3 linked regions of the Drosophila melanogaster genome follow. The protein of the gene in region 2 purifies or fractionates together with the protein of the main gene of each other region. This does not show direct contact. Each region holds a gene or a part of one and is shown on either strand. Other genes may lie near its edges.

Evidence for each region.
Region 1: the proteins of CG2150 (region 2) and CG7203 purify together in Drosophila melanogaster (affinity purification with mass spectrometry, with the first as the bait; one large-scale study listed by BioGRID). This does not show direct contact.
Region 3: the proteins of CG2150 (region 2) and mol purify together in Drosophila melanogaster (affinity purification with mass spectrometry, with the first as the bait; one large-scale study listed by BioGRID). This does not show direct contact.

The regions. Positions count from the first base shown.
Region 1 is NT_033779.5:7,750,907-7,755,903, reverse strand, and holds CG7203 (uncharacterized protein), read left to right. Parts: upstream 1-2,717; 5' UTR 2,718-2,796; coding exon 2,797-2,802; intron 2,803-3,089; coding exon 3,090-3,473; 3' UTR 3,474-3,734; downstream 3,735-4,997.
Region 2 is NT_033777.3:31,762,393-31,767,814, forward strand, and holds CG2150 (uncharacterized protein), read right to left. Parts: upstream 2,381-5,422; 5' UTR 2,274-2,380; coding exon 2,256-2,273; intron 1,957-2,255; coding exon 1,408-1,956; 3' UTR 912-1,407; downstream 1-911.
Region 3 is NT_033779.5:14,993,875-15,000,348, forward strand, and holds the start of mol (moladietz), read right to left. Parts: upstream 3,686-6,474; 5' UTR 3,642-3,685; exon of another isoform or gene 2,840-3,641; intron 162-2,839; 5' UTR 25-161; intron 1-24.

The sequences.
Region 1 (4,997 bases), on a different chromosome or scaffold from region 2:
ACCCAAATGCCTTTTCATTACCCCGTTCGCGATTGTTTTTTGGGTGGGCCCTCGCCTCCTGGCACCTCGCATCATTGTGGATACGCAGCCCAGACAAAAGGCAAGTGAAACCCATGCTAATGGAGCGAGGGGTTGCCCAATGGATTTCTCCACCACACACTGTTTTGACATTAGCCCCATTTCGTAGGGTACCTTCGCTATACAGTGAGGTTTTACTAAGATAGCAATTTAATAGAAAATTGAATACATTAAATTAGCTTTTTCTTCTATTGATTTATAAATGCATCTTCTTTGGTGCATAATTATCTAAAGCACTTTAGTTGCACTGCAAAAGTTCTTTCACAATAGATCACTTAAGAACCCTTATATTTTAACTTTTCTCTCGGTATTTGCTTTATGCAAGCTCAAAAGTGCGCAGTTTTCTAAGGACACAGTCCGTTCAGTTTCAATTTACCCCATATCTGGCAAGAATCTTAACCTTGGTGCCACACAATTCCCGACTTTAGTGCTACATAAAGCAAGGCAACCCGCGAAACGTGAGTTTTCCGGCGACCCAGTGAGAATAACCAAGTCAATTTCCCGTTTCCATCACTCCTGTTCCCCAATTACTTGCCAAAGTTTCGCCGACAGCTGATGGCTGCACTTTCTCCCCTTCGCGCCTCTGGGTGTTCATTTGCATTCGAGAAGTTGGAGCCATCTATCAAAGACTTCGTTAGCATCGCGTGACTGAATGTTGTCCGGAAATTAGAACCACCCACTCAAGCCGAAGAAGATTTTTTTTTGACAAGTTTGGGCAGCAGGATTAGTTTATGGATTAGTGATAAATAATCTTATCAGACGATGTGATGCAATTGAGTGCGAATATTTCCCCATCGCACATTTAATTGGCATGGAAATATTTCTGGGTGTGGCAGGCCAATACTTTATGTGTAAGTCTGACAATTTGATGGATGCAATAAAATATTATGGCTGCGGCTGTGGCAAAGAATCTTAATTGAATGGCAGCGCGCTGCATTGGAGCCAATCGGTGTCAGAGTCACCGAACCAACCAATTGGCCAACTCGAGTGCACAGGAGAAAAGCAGCTAATTTTGGAAAGGAGTTTTGTGTTGTTAAGGTATAAATTTGTATTTCAAGATTAAATTCAAAAGATTTTTTTTGATTCCGAATCCTATTCACTTGATGCAAAATCCTTTTTTGATTTACCTACAATTACTAAGTATTCCTCTCAGTGTAGCCATAAACAGCACGAAAAGCACTTGACGGCAATGAATTCTGACACACGTGTGCCAACCACTCAAACTTCCCCACCGCCCACCTGGCTGGTGGTTCGACCCTCAATGTTCTCTACTCACGCAACAATGACATCGGGATCCTCCCACCACTTCTTGTTGGAAGGCTGCAGCAGCAGGCTGACCTGTCGCCAGTGGTTCTTGTGCACCACCTTTGGATGAACATAAAAGTTGGAGATTAATGCTCATTTTATGGACTGTATTCCGGCAGTGGTTACCTTATACTTTTTGGGATCGTATGCATTGTGATCTTTCTCCGTAAACACCAGGCGTGCCATTTTAAAGCCTCCGAATCCTTTCTAGAACCAAGCCTGATTCTGCTTCTCAGTGGGAGTTCTTTACATCAAGTATAGTACTCGAAAATATAAAGTATGCTTGCTTGAAACGGAATTAGTTATTTGTGTATACTGACTGAAGATTTTGCTTTGACAAAAGCTTTAATTGACTGTTAAATGAAAGATATAGTGTTGTTAAATTTTTAATTTCACAAAAATTTACCCTAAAATGTACAGCTCTTACTTAGAAAAAATTAAACGTATGACAATCTCTACTGATATTCAAATGTTTTGTAATTTATTACGTAGAATTGCTTTCCGACTTAAAAGCGAAAGTGGTTTGATTTACTTATCGTTTCTTAATGGAATCAATAAATATGTTCTATATATACAATTACGGATTACTCTACAAAAGGGGGTATAACTTAACATATATTAAATTATAAACCATTATTTTATATTTAAATACCAAATAAAATTTACAAAATTTAATTTTCATATTTTAAGGATTGGTAATATTTGTAGTGAAATCGTTTCCTACATATGGACTCTGATTTTTATATGGTATTCCTGGACATATGTTGGCGTTGACTGCATTAGTGATATGCAAATGCAATCGAGAAATCTATAGTCGGTGACCAAAATGGATCAGTTTGCCGACAACTGGCGGCCGGCACATTAATTTCAGGGCGAGCTAACCGAAGTGAATTTAATTACATTCTGCTGATGAAATTTAAATGGACAGCCAGTGGTGCTGAATGTGTGTGGGGCGATGGTGGTACAGAGGCACAGTGGTGCTGCGGTGGCTTGTAATTTGCCTATCCATTGTTGTTAGGGGCACCCGAGACATGGCTTTAGTGTATATCATATACAGATATTGAAGTCATGGTTATGGATTGGCCGAATCAAATGAGACCAGTCTTGTTTTCGTCATGTCAACCGGTGTGGCTAATTGTCGCGCACTTGAATTGTCGTCAATGAATTGTGGTTATTGATTCGGGAAGGTCAAGGGGTTCGGGTTGGGGTTGGGGTTGGGACTGAAGGTATTACGTGGTTTGTTCTCTGGCCCGGTTTCCGCATTTGTGCAGCAAACATACACATGGCTGATCAATCCGAGAACTGGCCTTATATGCTAAATGAAATTATGGATCGGAGCTATAAAAGCACTTGGCCAACGGGCAGATGTCAGTTAGTTTCGTTTCAAGCGTCACTGAGATCACAAAAGCCAACATGAAGGTGAGATTGAAGGGATATCGGATAACTGGAGCTTAGTTACAGCTAGTGTTATGTAAAAGGACAACATGAAGGGATTTATGTTGTTTTTAGTAAAACATTTCTATACAAATTGGTATGCTGCAAAAGTAGACATAAAAGATCTTTATCGAGTTATACATAAATTAATATCAGATCGCTGAACACATTACGACCCCATTCAGAGAAACTCCAAAATTAAAAAAACTTCAAATAAGTTATTTTTATCATAGTTCCTGAGTTTCCATCTAAATCAAGATTCTTATTTTCAGTTCGCCGTTGTCGTAGTCCTGTTCGCTTTGGCCTGGGGTGTCAACAGCTCGGTGGTGCCTCTCCTGACCTCCGCCCATGGTCTGGTGGTCGGTTCTCCCGCCGTCGCCGGTTCGGTGGCCATCCAGGCATCTGCGGTTCCCGCTGCCGTTCCCCTGTCCCTGTCCCCAGCCGGACCCGTGCTCATCCAGTCTGGACCAGCGGTGGTTGCCGCTCCCGTTCCCGCCGCTGTGGTTGCTGCCCACGCCCCCGCCGTGGTGGCCGTCGCCGCTCCGGAGGCCAGCTATGTGGCCAAGACCCGTGGAGCTGTCCATGTGGCTCCTCTGCCAGGACATGTGCAGTCCGCTGCTTCCGTGAACTTGGAACCCGCACCAGGCACCTGGTAATCACCTGAAATGACTTCTGGATTACCCCTACATTGATCCTGACCGCCACTTGCTCGCATCTTTACCACATTTTTTGGTTTTTTAAGTTACCGAAAGGTCTGTCCTCTGCTGAGATCCCGTTGGGTTCTCATTTCTTCAGCAATCTAAGTCAATCCTATCCAGTCTATCGCTTTCCGCTTTACTCTCTGGTCTATATTTATCCACCCCGCTGTTGTCACATGGAAATTTGTTTCTTTTTGAATAAAAAAATGTTATTAAAACAGTTGAAAGGCGTTTTAGTTACGGTTGCTAGCGCTTAAGTAACTATTTATATGCCATTAGCAGATGTATCTAGATCGTGGTCCCAGAATATTTATTTCAAATAATTTTTACGCAATTACCAGGGGATCGACTCACCTTTTTTAACGGCAATTAGAAGCCACACCCTTAGCCCAACTCCCACGCCTTCAAGTGCAGCAAACATTGGACAGCTAAATGGCTTAAAACAATCTCGATCGATGGCCGATTACCGATGCCAGTAATTAATCAATTCCGGGGCCTCAGACCGGCGCTACAGCAGGGGCGTTGACAAAAAGCCGCTCCAGAAATGAGACGCAGTTGCTCGGCAGCTGGACAACTTTGTTGCCAACTCATAGTACAAACTGCCGTCGAACCGAACTGGTCTTTGAACTGAAAACGAGAGTACTACTCGATCTGGAGCAGGGGCGGTTTGCCTTGATCGCCGCACACTCGCACTTGCAATTATTAATAGAAAAATGTGCACAAACTTGATATGGCCGCGATGAAGTTAAGTAATGCCCATGCAAAGTAATGCGGTTCAGATCAAATCCGCCTTAACGCCCACTGCAGACCCCTGAAACCCGTTAGGCGATGATCCCGATTCCGATGGGATATATAGGACTATATGCTGTTATATCTAGTGAAATATATGAATAGTAAATTGCAATTTATATTAAATATTAATAATTTCAGTATGCCAAAAATATAGTTGAACTTTCTTCTTTGCACTTCCAGCGGCTGAGTAAGGAGTAACTGATAGTTGAGGAAATCGACTCAAGCGTTCTTTCTTATGTCTATATATTTTTTTATAAGACATTTAAAATTATAATTTTCAGGGTATCCCATATGGTGAGTTCAATACAAAAATATTAAATATACTGGCTTAATGCCCCAACATTTTGACCGAAAATAGACTTGACGGAAAACATGATAAGCGAAAAATGCCTAGGCTTTCAATAAAAGTGTCAATTGTCGGCGAAACGTGAGGCCAAGAAAGGGGATGGGGAATGGAGTGGGAGGGGGAGTCGACTCAGTTGGGGGGCGGGGAGCCAAGTGGCAGCTAAACAAACGGCAGCGAAACATTTTGCCGCGTTGTTTAGTGTCGTGTCGGCAGCCAAGCCCCATGGCAATTGGCCATAAATCTAGACCCAGCCATTCACTTTTTGTTTTCTTTTGCTAGCCACAAGTGGGCTTAACTCGATCGGCGGCTGCGTGCACGCAAAACCAAAGAACGCATGACGCGGC
Region 2 (5,422 bases):
TCATCATAAGGCATCTCATAGTGCAGCTTTTTGGGTGCACTTCCACGTATGTACATATATATGTATATGTACATAGAGGACGGCCACCTCGGCACGCATTCAATTGGGAAATCTAATGATGCGAATGTTGGTTAAGTGGCTACAGCTTCAGATTCAGCTGCCACTTCATTTATGGCTCTGGGCCACAACTCCAACTTCGGTCGTGGTAATTGTCGATGTCCATCGACTCATCATTCCCCCATCGCCTTTCCCGCCAGCAGCTGCAGTTGGCCCAGAGTCTCGGCTGCATATGTCGCAATGTTCGCGTAATGAGCGCCCCTCCGGCTCCATCTGCCATCCACATCCCCATCTTCAACCACATCTTCCATTTTAAGCACTTGCACGACTGAGAGTACCTCGTACACAGCAAAAAAGGGGCTACAACCCTGCCTCCAATGAGCAGTTAAAGACATGGATCATATGTATCTGGTATCTGCAAGATATTTTCCTAAGTATAATGTTATTATATTAGCTTGTAACTTAAATCATTTATATATGTAATTTAGTATTTGCAACTAGTGATAACACAAGACCAATTGATTGGCTCAGTGTACGTGAAGATAGGCCAGGGGTTAAAGCTACCTTATTATCGAGTGTAAAAGTGAAAGGATTGGCGGAGATGCTTGGCTTGGTATTTAAAAACACTGACATGGGGCCAGTGACAACTCGGCTTACGTAGAGCTGCGAGTCCGATCAATTGGAATGGTGGGTCCATGTGAGTGGATTGTCATTACGAGATCATCGAGTGTTTTGGTGGTGAGCAATGCGGAACGAGGTCAGTTTCATTAGATGTAATGACATTTGGCGAGATAGCCATAATTTCGAAACTCCCATGGATTCACGGTATTGAAATGAAAATATTGCAATCATTTAACGGTGACAAAATTTACTATTTTTTTTATTGTTTTCATATTTTTTTGTTGTTTCTTTGTTTGTTTCATATAAAATAAAAACACTTACGAGCTAGTAATGCGTTATAACACTTTGTGGGGTGTTTTCCATCTTGGTGTTGTGGGTGTTGTTGTGTGGCTTTCGTTTTCGGGTTTTCTTGTATTCGTGTAGTGTGAGAAACTATTTACAAGGGTTACAAAAAGGCCCGAGACGAAGTCCCGAATTGTTTGGGGTTTCCGGGGAACGGACGTTTCAGAGTGTTGGGGTACAGTCGCTGAGTTCGGGAAGAGGGCTTGAGAAGGGGAAGCGATCTCCAGTTCTCTCGGGATCAGAGCGGATCGGTGATCGGTAGTTCCATTATTAGATCCAGGTTGCCCAAATTTGTATAGTGTTGGTGTCGTCTTTGTCGGTTTCGTGTCCGTCGGTATTCATTTTTGGCAGAGGTGTGTCTTTCGGATGTGAGACCTGTGCGAAGATCTAGAAGGGCGCTCCATAGCTGCCGCTGGGCCTTGAAGGGGCTCCATACGATCCGGATGGGGCGCTGGGATATCCACCGCCGCCACCTCCCTGCTGCGAGCTCTGCTGGGCGAACTGAGCCACCTGGATGGCCTGGCGGACGCCTTCCAGGTCGATGCCCACGACACGGCCACCGCCTCCGATTCCGGGGGCTCCGTAGCTGGTGGAAGGTGGACCGTAGCTGCTGGATGGGCCACTGGGGTAGCCACCACCGCCGCCACCACCGCCTCCACCACCACCGCCGCCCTGCTTGCTCTCCTCGTTCAGCAGGATCTGGCGCACCTGCTCCAAAAGCTGGGGATCCACGTTCTGGCCCTCGGACGTCTGGAAGCCGCCGCTCACAGCCTGGTAGCCGCCGCCGCCACCACCGCCGCCACCTCCTAGTCCGCCTCCGAATCCGCCGCCGAAGCCACCTCCAAATCCGCCGCCACCACCACCTCCGCCGCGGGGATAGTTATATCCGGATGGTGGCTCTGCTGCAGCAAGAGCGGCCAGCGCGAACACTAAGAACTGAAAGTAGGTAGTGGAGGTTAGTGCAAATTCCATATCAAACTGGTGATCTCATCAATTGAATTCTCTTAAATAACTCGAATGCGTCTTTTTGTGGAATGTGAATTGAAATCCCATAGATTAAGGCACAAGGAGAGTTTTTGAAACTATTGAAGTTTTTTTGAAATCCAATTGCAGCGTTTGCGGTCTGACAGGGCTATTCTTTCTAAATCCCGTAAGGGGTGTAATCCGCTTGCGTCCAGGTTTAATCGGCTCTGGGGTCTGGGGTCTTGAGGTCGTCGGGATCGTGTGTTACTTACCACTGAGAAGGAGTTCATAGCGACGTTTCGGGTGAGTGTGTTTGTTGGGGGGAAGAGTTGAGTAGAGTAGAGTGGAGTGAATTTGGTTGCTTCCGAGTGGGGAACCAGCGACTGAATGCATCTCCACGGCCAGCAGAGCCACTCTTTATACCCGCCGGTGCTCAGCTGCTCTTCAGCTTTCGGGCCAACTCGTCCACTCGGCAACGTCATTATCGCCAAACTTCGTCTGCAACTTGTTTCTTTTGCTGCTGGGCGCTTCTCACAATAAAACAAAATTTCCAATTGGAAAACAACGTAGAGGCAGAAGAAAAAAAGGCCGAAAAAAATAAAATGTCGCTAACGATTTTGGTATTTGAAATTTTCTTTGGCACTTTCCTTCGATTCGCGCGGACCAGGAAGTGATTTTTCCCACCACCGCGATCGATTCCGAAGGTAAGTAACCCAGCCGCAGCCACTGAGATTTTTCGACAGCCCAGGAGGATCATGGCGGCTTCCAAAACATATTTCTCTTGGCCATGAGGTATGGCTCCACTGACGAAACTGCAATTCGCGTTTCCCGTTGCCCAACTGCAGTTGCATTTCAATTGTGGGTAAGTCGCAACCTGGGCTCGTCATCCATCAGCATCAGCGTCACATGGGCACGAAGATTACGAAATGGGCTGGGAAATGCGAATCGGGGGAGTCAGGAGGGCCGGAGACGGGGACCGGGACGGGCCCGAGGCCCGTATAATTCGTACGATCTCGATGTGGAGCAGTAGGGCCATGGCACCACGGGGCGTATAATTAATGTTTCCCAAGGAGCGTAATTACACGAGTTTGTACATTTGCAGATGAGTGCTGCAATCGCAAGAGCCTGAAAAGTGCACTTTACGCTTTGGAAGGTATGCAGTTGGGAATGCCAGAGCTAAATATGTATATTACCTGCACTCATAGTTTGTCATATTGGTTAAGTTAACTTAACCACGTTTAATTTAACCCAACCAAATGACCTCGAAATAAGATCGAAAGCCAGATATCTGCGCTCATTCTGGCAGAAGTGAAAGAAGTCCCCGATGGACTGGAGGCCGCATTGTGCCCATTATGTCATGTCTTCGGATGAGCACCTGTGCAGTCGCAGATGGCAACCATAAGTTGCAGAAAAGACACACGATGAAAGGGAAGACGCCTGCATGCAAGTGGAAGTGAACCTTGCCGTAAATTGGACTAAATGAGGTTTATTTACATCTCGACTCACACTTTCGCATATACCCAAAACCGGCAATAACTTTGGCTCCGCTTCATGCAGAGAAATCAACATCATGTACTTTGAATGTCAGGTGAAAAGTAAGGACATATCTCAACCATTATTCTGTGATCGTAGAAGTATTTGATTTGTTATGATATTTAGTGGTTTTCTTTTTTTCGTTTCTTTTCTTTCATTTCCTTATTATCATGTTTAAATCATCATCGAAATCAGCAAACGGCCTTTTCTGCGGGTGTATTAAAGGCTCTTCGGAAACCTTCACGCTCCAAAGTGAAGGACTATCTGCGTTGGGGCACGATCTGCAGTTGGCGGTCGGCGTCGGGTGGGGATGGGTTTCGACTGGGCACTGGGTTGGGATTGGGTTCGGGGGCAACAATGAGATGAAAGTCAACACTTCACACTCGATGGCGGAGGCAGCGGACTCAATGACAGTGCGCTAAATCATTTTCGTGGCTCGGAACAGCTTAGATCTGCTGTGGCTGCCACTGTCGTTAATTCGGTTTATTGTGGTCGAGAGATTCCGGCGAAGGTCTCTTGCCCATCGATGGCGTAATTCCATCTTTGTGGGACTTCACTTTCCGTCGTGTAATTGGAGCAGCGGGAAAAGGTCACATGCCAGATGCTGCCTTGCCAGAAAAATGCCTGGCTGTAACCTCTCATTTAATTAATGCATAATTTATTATATGCTTGGCGCTGTGGCACCTTTCTATCTTGAGTAAACATTGCATCAGATCTCACAAGAGTCTGTGATGGTCCTTTGAATAGCAATTGCTTGTTATTGACACAATTGTGGGAGTTCAAAAATAACTTCTTTTTCATTAGCATTTGGCTTCGCTTGTTTTTGCCTCGCTTTTTTGCAACTTTAATGAACGCTTTTTATACGTCGTGGCCTATCTGAACATATCCATCATTAACACGTCTGCCACTAGGTCAGCTTTGGACAGTGATGGCGACGGCGATGGCTTTGGCTCTTGCTTTTCGCTGTTCAGTCGGCTTAGCCGGGCCTAAACCGAACTGAAACTCATTATGCCTCTGTGTGTGCGTGCGTAATTGTTATGACACAATAATTGGGCCAGCAATAGCAAAACAAAGCCGAAATAAAAATAAAATCCCCTCAAATGCAAAAGCTGCCAACTGGCAGACGCGCCTGAATTATCAAAAAAAAATTCGCCTCATTTGCCATCTAGATTTCGGTTGCTGTTCGTATATTGCAGGGGGACTCGCCCCCGCAATATAGTTAGTTTAACATTTTATTTTAAAAGTATACAAAATATATTCTATAAATTAGATATGATAAGCTCCGCGCTGTGATTTCTTTTCTTCTGGTGACTAGCCGTTAGGGTTCCTACTTGAGAGCCATCATGGCGTTAGCGCAACCTCGCAACCAGGACCGTTCTGGATTCGCAGATCCCCCCATTCAGGTGCGTCATTTCGGCTTCGTATCGCTAATCAACAGGTGGACACAAACTGCCTACTAAATTGACTATAGGAGGGTTCATTTTTCACAGTCGCTGACGAGGCTGATGAGCGACAAAAAACCGACTATTCCGGCCTATTGATGACAGAGGGCGAATGCCCGTGCGACAAAGTTGGTAGCAGCCACGCTGATGAAGATGAGTTCGCGAAATGTTTGCCGTCCGATGGTGTTTGGTGGCTCATTCTCTGCAGATCCCTCCAAGCCGATGAACCCCTGGACGACAGGTTACATAAGCCAGCGAGTGTGGTACACTGGAAAAGTATGTGCCTACTTCACACACCGTTCACATTTGCCATTGTTCACATGTGTACACTCAACTTCGCAGCCTCTGTGGGAGCAGCTCCAAAAGATCCAGGATTATCCTAATCTGAATTATTTGGTAGAAGTTGCGCAGATTGTTATCTGTTAGGATTTTGAATTATTTTGCCGAGTGACGTACAATTATAG
Region 3 (6,474 bases), on a different chromosome or scaffold from region 2:
CATCAAGTCTTAAAGTTCACTTACCAAACTTGTCAAGAAGAAACCGGCATACAAAATAATTGTTATTAACTTTTCGTGTTCACTTTGTTATTTTTTTTTATTTTTGTATAATCCAATTTTGATGTCCAATTTATAGCTTCGAGTTAGCCGTTAAGACGTATCTAAACAATCAAGAAATTTGCATTTATGATTAATGAATTAAATAATATAGACAGGCACAAATTTTACACACACATCGGTTATGCTTGTTGAAATATTTTGCCGAAAATATTCTTGTTTTCACAGCTGTGAACATGTATTCAATTATTTGATTTTAAACGGTTTGATTTATTCGAGATAAATTTATTAGAGTTATTTTTGAACTACATGTTCATTAGGATTTTTTATACATTGCACTTAGTAGATTTATTGCTGAGTTATATAACGAAGCTTTTGTTTTATTATATAGATGTAATTTATAGATTTCAAATAAATACATTTGGTTAAATTATAATTTTTTTTGTCGAATTCACCACTGCCGTAATAAATAAATGTTTAGAATTTATTAAAGAAATTATCCTTTGTTTAACTTCTATTAATTAATTCCGTATATTTAAGAAAAATGTTTTCCTTGCAGTTGCAATTTGCTGTTGCTGACTGCACCCCCATTGAGTCAATGGTTCTTTTTCCATTTTTTTTCATTGCTGCTGCTGCTGCTGGCAGTCAACCGGTTTAACTAGTCAAGTCCGCCGCCGCCGCCAGACTTTGCACATAAATTGCATTTTATTTTAAAAACCCGGTAATAAATTGTTTCATTTATAATTAGAATTTTTGCCAAGCTGACAGTCCGTGAAATCATGTTTGAAGGTGCGAATACCAAACATACTCGTATGAAACTCCACTTGCGGGAGTTCTCAACTATTTTGTTATGGATTCGATATCGTTGTGGTTGTTGGTGCTGCCCCTCTGGTTGACCTTCGCATATTTTTCGGACAGGAATTTGTAAGTCGCTACGATTCGCGTCAGTTTATTGGCTCAATTGCCTGCAAAAACAATGAACGTCGACGTCGGCGATGGACTTGGCACCAAAACGTAAGGTGCGACGCATCGCATGTGGAAATCTTCGAGCACATTACGTTATTACGTTATAAGCGCAAAACAAAAGCGACAACCAGCAACAATCGGACAATGGGAAAAACAGACATTACAGTTACAAAACGAAACGGAAAATATGCGACGAGTAGCACACAAAAGACGCCGGCGCACAGTGGTACAGTTATTAAAAGGATGGTAACATAATAATCCTTATATTGACGTATGAACATTGCAAAATTCATATAATTGTTCTTAAAACATCAACAAACTAACTTTTCAAGCAAATATGAAAACTGAGAGTATAACAATTCATAAACAAAAATAATAATAATAATCTTCAAATATCTCAGAGCTTAGCCATTCTAATTGGTATCACTTCTTTTAAGATTTCATCATAATATCTGAAAAAATTGGGTAAAACTTTTATTGTAACTAGTCAGTTAGTTAGTTATTGTGACTAGTCACCTGGTTTTTAAAATATATTATATATGAAACAATACGGATTAGTGAAACGAATTATTTGCTGAGCCCAAAGTCACGATCCACAATTTTATGCTCAAGAACATTAAATAGCAATAACCCACGGTGCAGCAACGCCCCACAAAGCAAGTGAGGCATCAGCAGCACCAGCATCCAAGTACCGTATGCAGCACACTTGCTGTGCGCACTCTCACTCTCACTTGCTCTCTTTCCCAAGCTCCAACCTCCTTCCATCTTGCTCCAATAATCTCTCTCTCTCTCTCTCTCTCGCACTCGCTCACACTGCCACAGAGACTGCAGCTTTTATTTTCAAGTCCAACGAAAGTGAAATTGCTGGCGCACCCCTTTCCGCCCACTATACCCCTCTCTCTAACACCTTTGCCGGTGGATTGAGGAAATGAAGTAAACATGAAATTGACATAATCAACACGCAGCTGGAAACTCTGCAAATGTCTTTTGACGAGACAGAGACAGCAAGAGAGGCACCAAGAGCTACAACAACAGGTTTCTGTGTCGCCCTGTTGATATTGCTTTTGTTGCTGTTGCTGTAATGCAGTGAGAGAAAATAATTACTCGGAATTGTATGATTTATGTCATATATGAATATTATGAATATCTTGATATTACTTTTTGTAGTACTGTTATTTATCAATATAATCCTTACTAATATATTAATAAAAATATTAGTAACTGTTTAAAACAATTTTTTCCCGTGCTAGCTTTGTTGTTGCTGCTGGCGGCGTGTGTTCAATGAGCGCTGGTGCGTGTAAATATGTAAGAGTTGCCTTCAACCGGCTTTTTCGTGCAACTTTTTTTTTTAGTTTTTTTGTAGCAGTAGTTTTTGTTTTCATTTTTGCGCTGGTCAGTTTGGTTTGAATCATCTGGCCATATAGGAAATGAAACGGGAGATGAAGTAATCCCAACGCCTGACATGGAAATTACATAGGCAAAACGCATCACAAAAATCAACCTGATGCACACACGTCATACAAATTCAACGACAACTAAAAGGGCAGGCAGGAAAATACAGTAAAAGGAAGGGGTATTAAAAAAAATACGCTCTTTATGTACGCTTTCGCGGAAAATACAAAAAAAAGGTTTAAAATTGCTGGAAGTTGTTATAATCAATTTTCTTTTTCATGTTTTAATAAATATCGAAATATCAAAGGTTTAGTTACTCCTGTTACTCCTGTAAGGGTAATAAAACATTGTGTTGGGTAATACTAAAGGGAAAATGTGCATTAGAAATTACCAACACAATTTTCCCGCTCCCACCCACACATACACCCATCACACATACGTTTGAGGAATGGCGGACTCCCTCTTTAGATGTTTGGGAATTTTTTTGTTTGATCTATCATATTTTATTTTTAGTTCTCGGTGTCTTTTAAGTCTCGGCAATCAGTTTGTTACCCAAAAAAATAAATAATTTATTATCCATTGTTCAGCATTCTATTTTTGCTTGAGTATACCAAACTATTTATTTACATATCTTATTGAATTTTTGATAATATGGATTTTGGTATTTTTTTATTTATATTTCTACAGAGAAACTTTTATTTGTATTGCTTCAGAGAAACTTATTTATTTTTGTTATTGTATTGCACTGAATATTTCGCACTTTAGTTGCAAAAAAATAAATTGCAACATTTAATTGCAACCAAGTTGATTAACTTTTTTATGTTTAAGGCAAAAATTTGCTGGCTTTAATTATATTTTATGTGCGCGCAAATTGTTAAGGTTTTTCGACACTGTTGTTTGTTTTAAGCTTTTTTGTTTTATTTTTGCAGACAACCACGAGGAGCAAAGCATAAATAACTAGATGAGCTTCAAACTTAATACCGTTATTTGCGTTATTATAACGCGGCTTTTGCGGTTTCTTTTTGTTTTGGCAAACTTATTTCGGCTTGAATTTTCGATTTTTGATTTTTCTCCACTTTTACGAACACGGTGGTTTTGTGCATGGCATAACACACAGACAAAACAAAAGCAAACAAATAAAAACACAATTCGATTTCGTCTTCGCTGCCTCTCGTTGTTTTTTTGTTGCAACTGATTTAAAATGCGCAGGCGCGGCGGCGACTTACAAAAATCTGCGTCCGTTTCGAGAGCTTGCCGTCGATCAACTGAACGCCGAGAGCGGTGAGCAAAAGACAAAACCTTCCCAAAAGAGAGCAACAGAGCGCCAAAGCTCCAAAGCGATGGGAGCTTTTTGCTCGACCGCTAATTGCAGGCTTAAGTGAGTGTGAATTTATGAAGCAGTCATGTCGGAAAGTCAGAAAATCAAAAAAAAAATTATTAAAATAAAAAATATCAAAAAATCCGACAGGGAACTTGGGCTATATCGCCAGGGCTATTCCTGATCAGGGACCTTGTCCGACTCTAGGCTGCCACACTTTCCAACCGCAAACTGGTTCATCTTGGGCCTGGCCTCACACTAAATTCACAGCCGAGCGGCAAATTATATACTTTAATCAGCCGGGCGAGAATAGCATTGGCACCTGTCACGAGGAGAAATAATATTAGTATAAACAGCTGTGCTCCGAAAATATTAGAACTTGCATTGTTACAAAAAAGGAAACAAAATAAAACTCTCAAACGTAATTTTATCATCTGACATTTTAATTTGGTTGATATAAATTAAGGCCCACTTAAAATATTAATGTATAATGCATTACTGGACATAAAAACAAAAGATTTATTTATAAGGTAGTATGTTAAAATGAGACATTTATTATTAAACCAAAATAAAACTTAATGAAACGTAATTGCATTGTATAATCAAAAATGCAATCGTTATAATATCAAAATTTCAAATTTTAAATTGCAATTTCCACTTTTCATACAACATTCTTTAATTTAAACAATTATGTCAGAAAAAATAGGTGCCAAATATTGGATAATATTAAAACGAATCCTCAAAAACTCCATCTTCGCAGCATTCCAACTTAAAAACCCCCAATACTTTTTCCTTTATTTAGTTATTTGCCAGCTGCTACTATTGCTAATTCAATTAGCATAGAGACCCGTCTGGTAATTAATATTTAATTTGCTAATTGAATTTTTACTAGCGACTACCGTGCCACGCACCAACGCCAAGCCAAATCACCAAGTTAGCCTCCGTGATCTCTGTTTATGTCCAGTCAATCCATCCGACTTGTGAATCTCGACAGTTGCAAATTTGGCTGGTCGACGCCAAAGCCACTTTTCAGCCGCAGTATGCTAGATCTTGTTGTCTTTGCCTTAGTAGTGAATCTTTTATGATGTGCAAAATTAGCCATAAAAACATACATAAACAAAAATGTAAATATTGCTGTAAAATCAGTAATTCATTATACGTAAGGCTCTCTAGAGTTTAGCCGATGTACTTAGTCTTTGGATTTAAAAAAGTATTATTCTGTGTTTGGAAAAAAATGTGGTGCTTAAAGCTGGCTGAAAAACTTCTAAAGTCGTATAACTATTTTTACAGCATGCAATTTATAAAGGAAGTATCTAAACTACTGAAATATTTACTTTATGTTAAAAATGCTTCGAAAAAGGTTTTTAAAACTGGTGTTTAGTTTTTTTTTTTTGCTTATTGGCAAACGGACTTCATCATAATCGATTCCCTAGCTACGAATAAACTTCCGCTACGCAGTCCAATGATTCATTCCCATTAAAATAAATATCTTGGGGCAAACCAATTCTTTTGACTGCTCTCACAGTGAATTCGTACACATGTTTAGTCACCACGAGTTCGTCGCCAAAGTCTTTTGTTCTAGCGTCATTTATATGCAAACCTATCACCTTGATGGGCGATAAAAACCAGAAAAGTCTGAAAAACATAAACAACAGCATCCCGGACCAGTGCAGCAAAGCGGTGACCACAAAGTTGAAATTAACGAAAATTCGCGCGGCAAGGTCAGTTCAAAGCGGTCAACGACTGCAGGCCGCACGGGAATGGCCAACATGAAATGCCCTTTTTCGAACAACAAAAATTTATCGATTGCAAGCAGTAAATAAAAATTATTCAGCAATAAAAGCGAAAAAAAAAAATTAAAATTAATCACTCGACAAGAGGAGATAACTTCTGAGCTACGCATAATGCGGCTACCGTTTAAGACTTAAATGAAAATATAAAAAACAGACACAAAATCCGGATGTGTCGCGATGCCTACGGATTTGGCGCGCCCAGACCGAGGACGGTCGTTGGTCCCTGGGGCCACAGAATCGCCGACGAAGTAGACCACAAAAAAAAACGACGGACACCGTACGTGTCCCATATCAGGAATGCAAACCACGCGGCGGTCACTTTCGGTTGGACATTGTTTCTGTTATTGCCGATTTTGGAACTGCTCGACTGACTCAGTTTCGGCGAACCTCCACTAAAAGCATTCATAACTCAACTGCCAGCTGTCAGCGGCAAAAAGAAGAAAAAAAAAAGCAGATACAAAATATCCCCAGGTTTATACCACGAAAAAAAAAGGGAAAGGGCAGTGTAATGGAAAATTATAATGGAAATAAAGCGAGTGCTGATGCTCTCGGAGTTACTTTGCAATCGTCTCAAGTTCAAGGTCTTCTCGATTTTGCCGTTCAGTGCGATGATAGTGCATTAAATGTGCTGCGATGGGAGATTGTTGTCTGTCGATGGAATGGTAATTGTAGTATAATTATAATGGGCTTAATGGAAGCCGCAGTGCTTGCGATGGCAAATAAGCAGATTGCTTTTAAAAATTATAATAACTTACTGGATTTGCAGGGCTTATGAATAAGCTATGATTAGTAAAATGTTGCAAACGGCTTAAGATTTTCTGTATTTTGTATTATTATTAATTGAGTGATAAAATAATATGTTTATTTCACGCTCCAAAAGGTTTACCCGAGTGAAGCGAACTATGCGTCACTAAAATTGACTTAAAACCAAATAAGGAAGTAATCGAC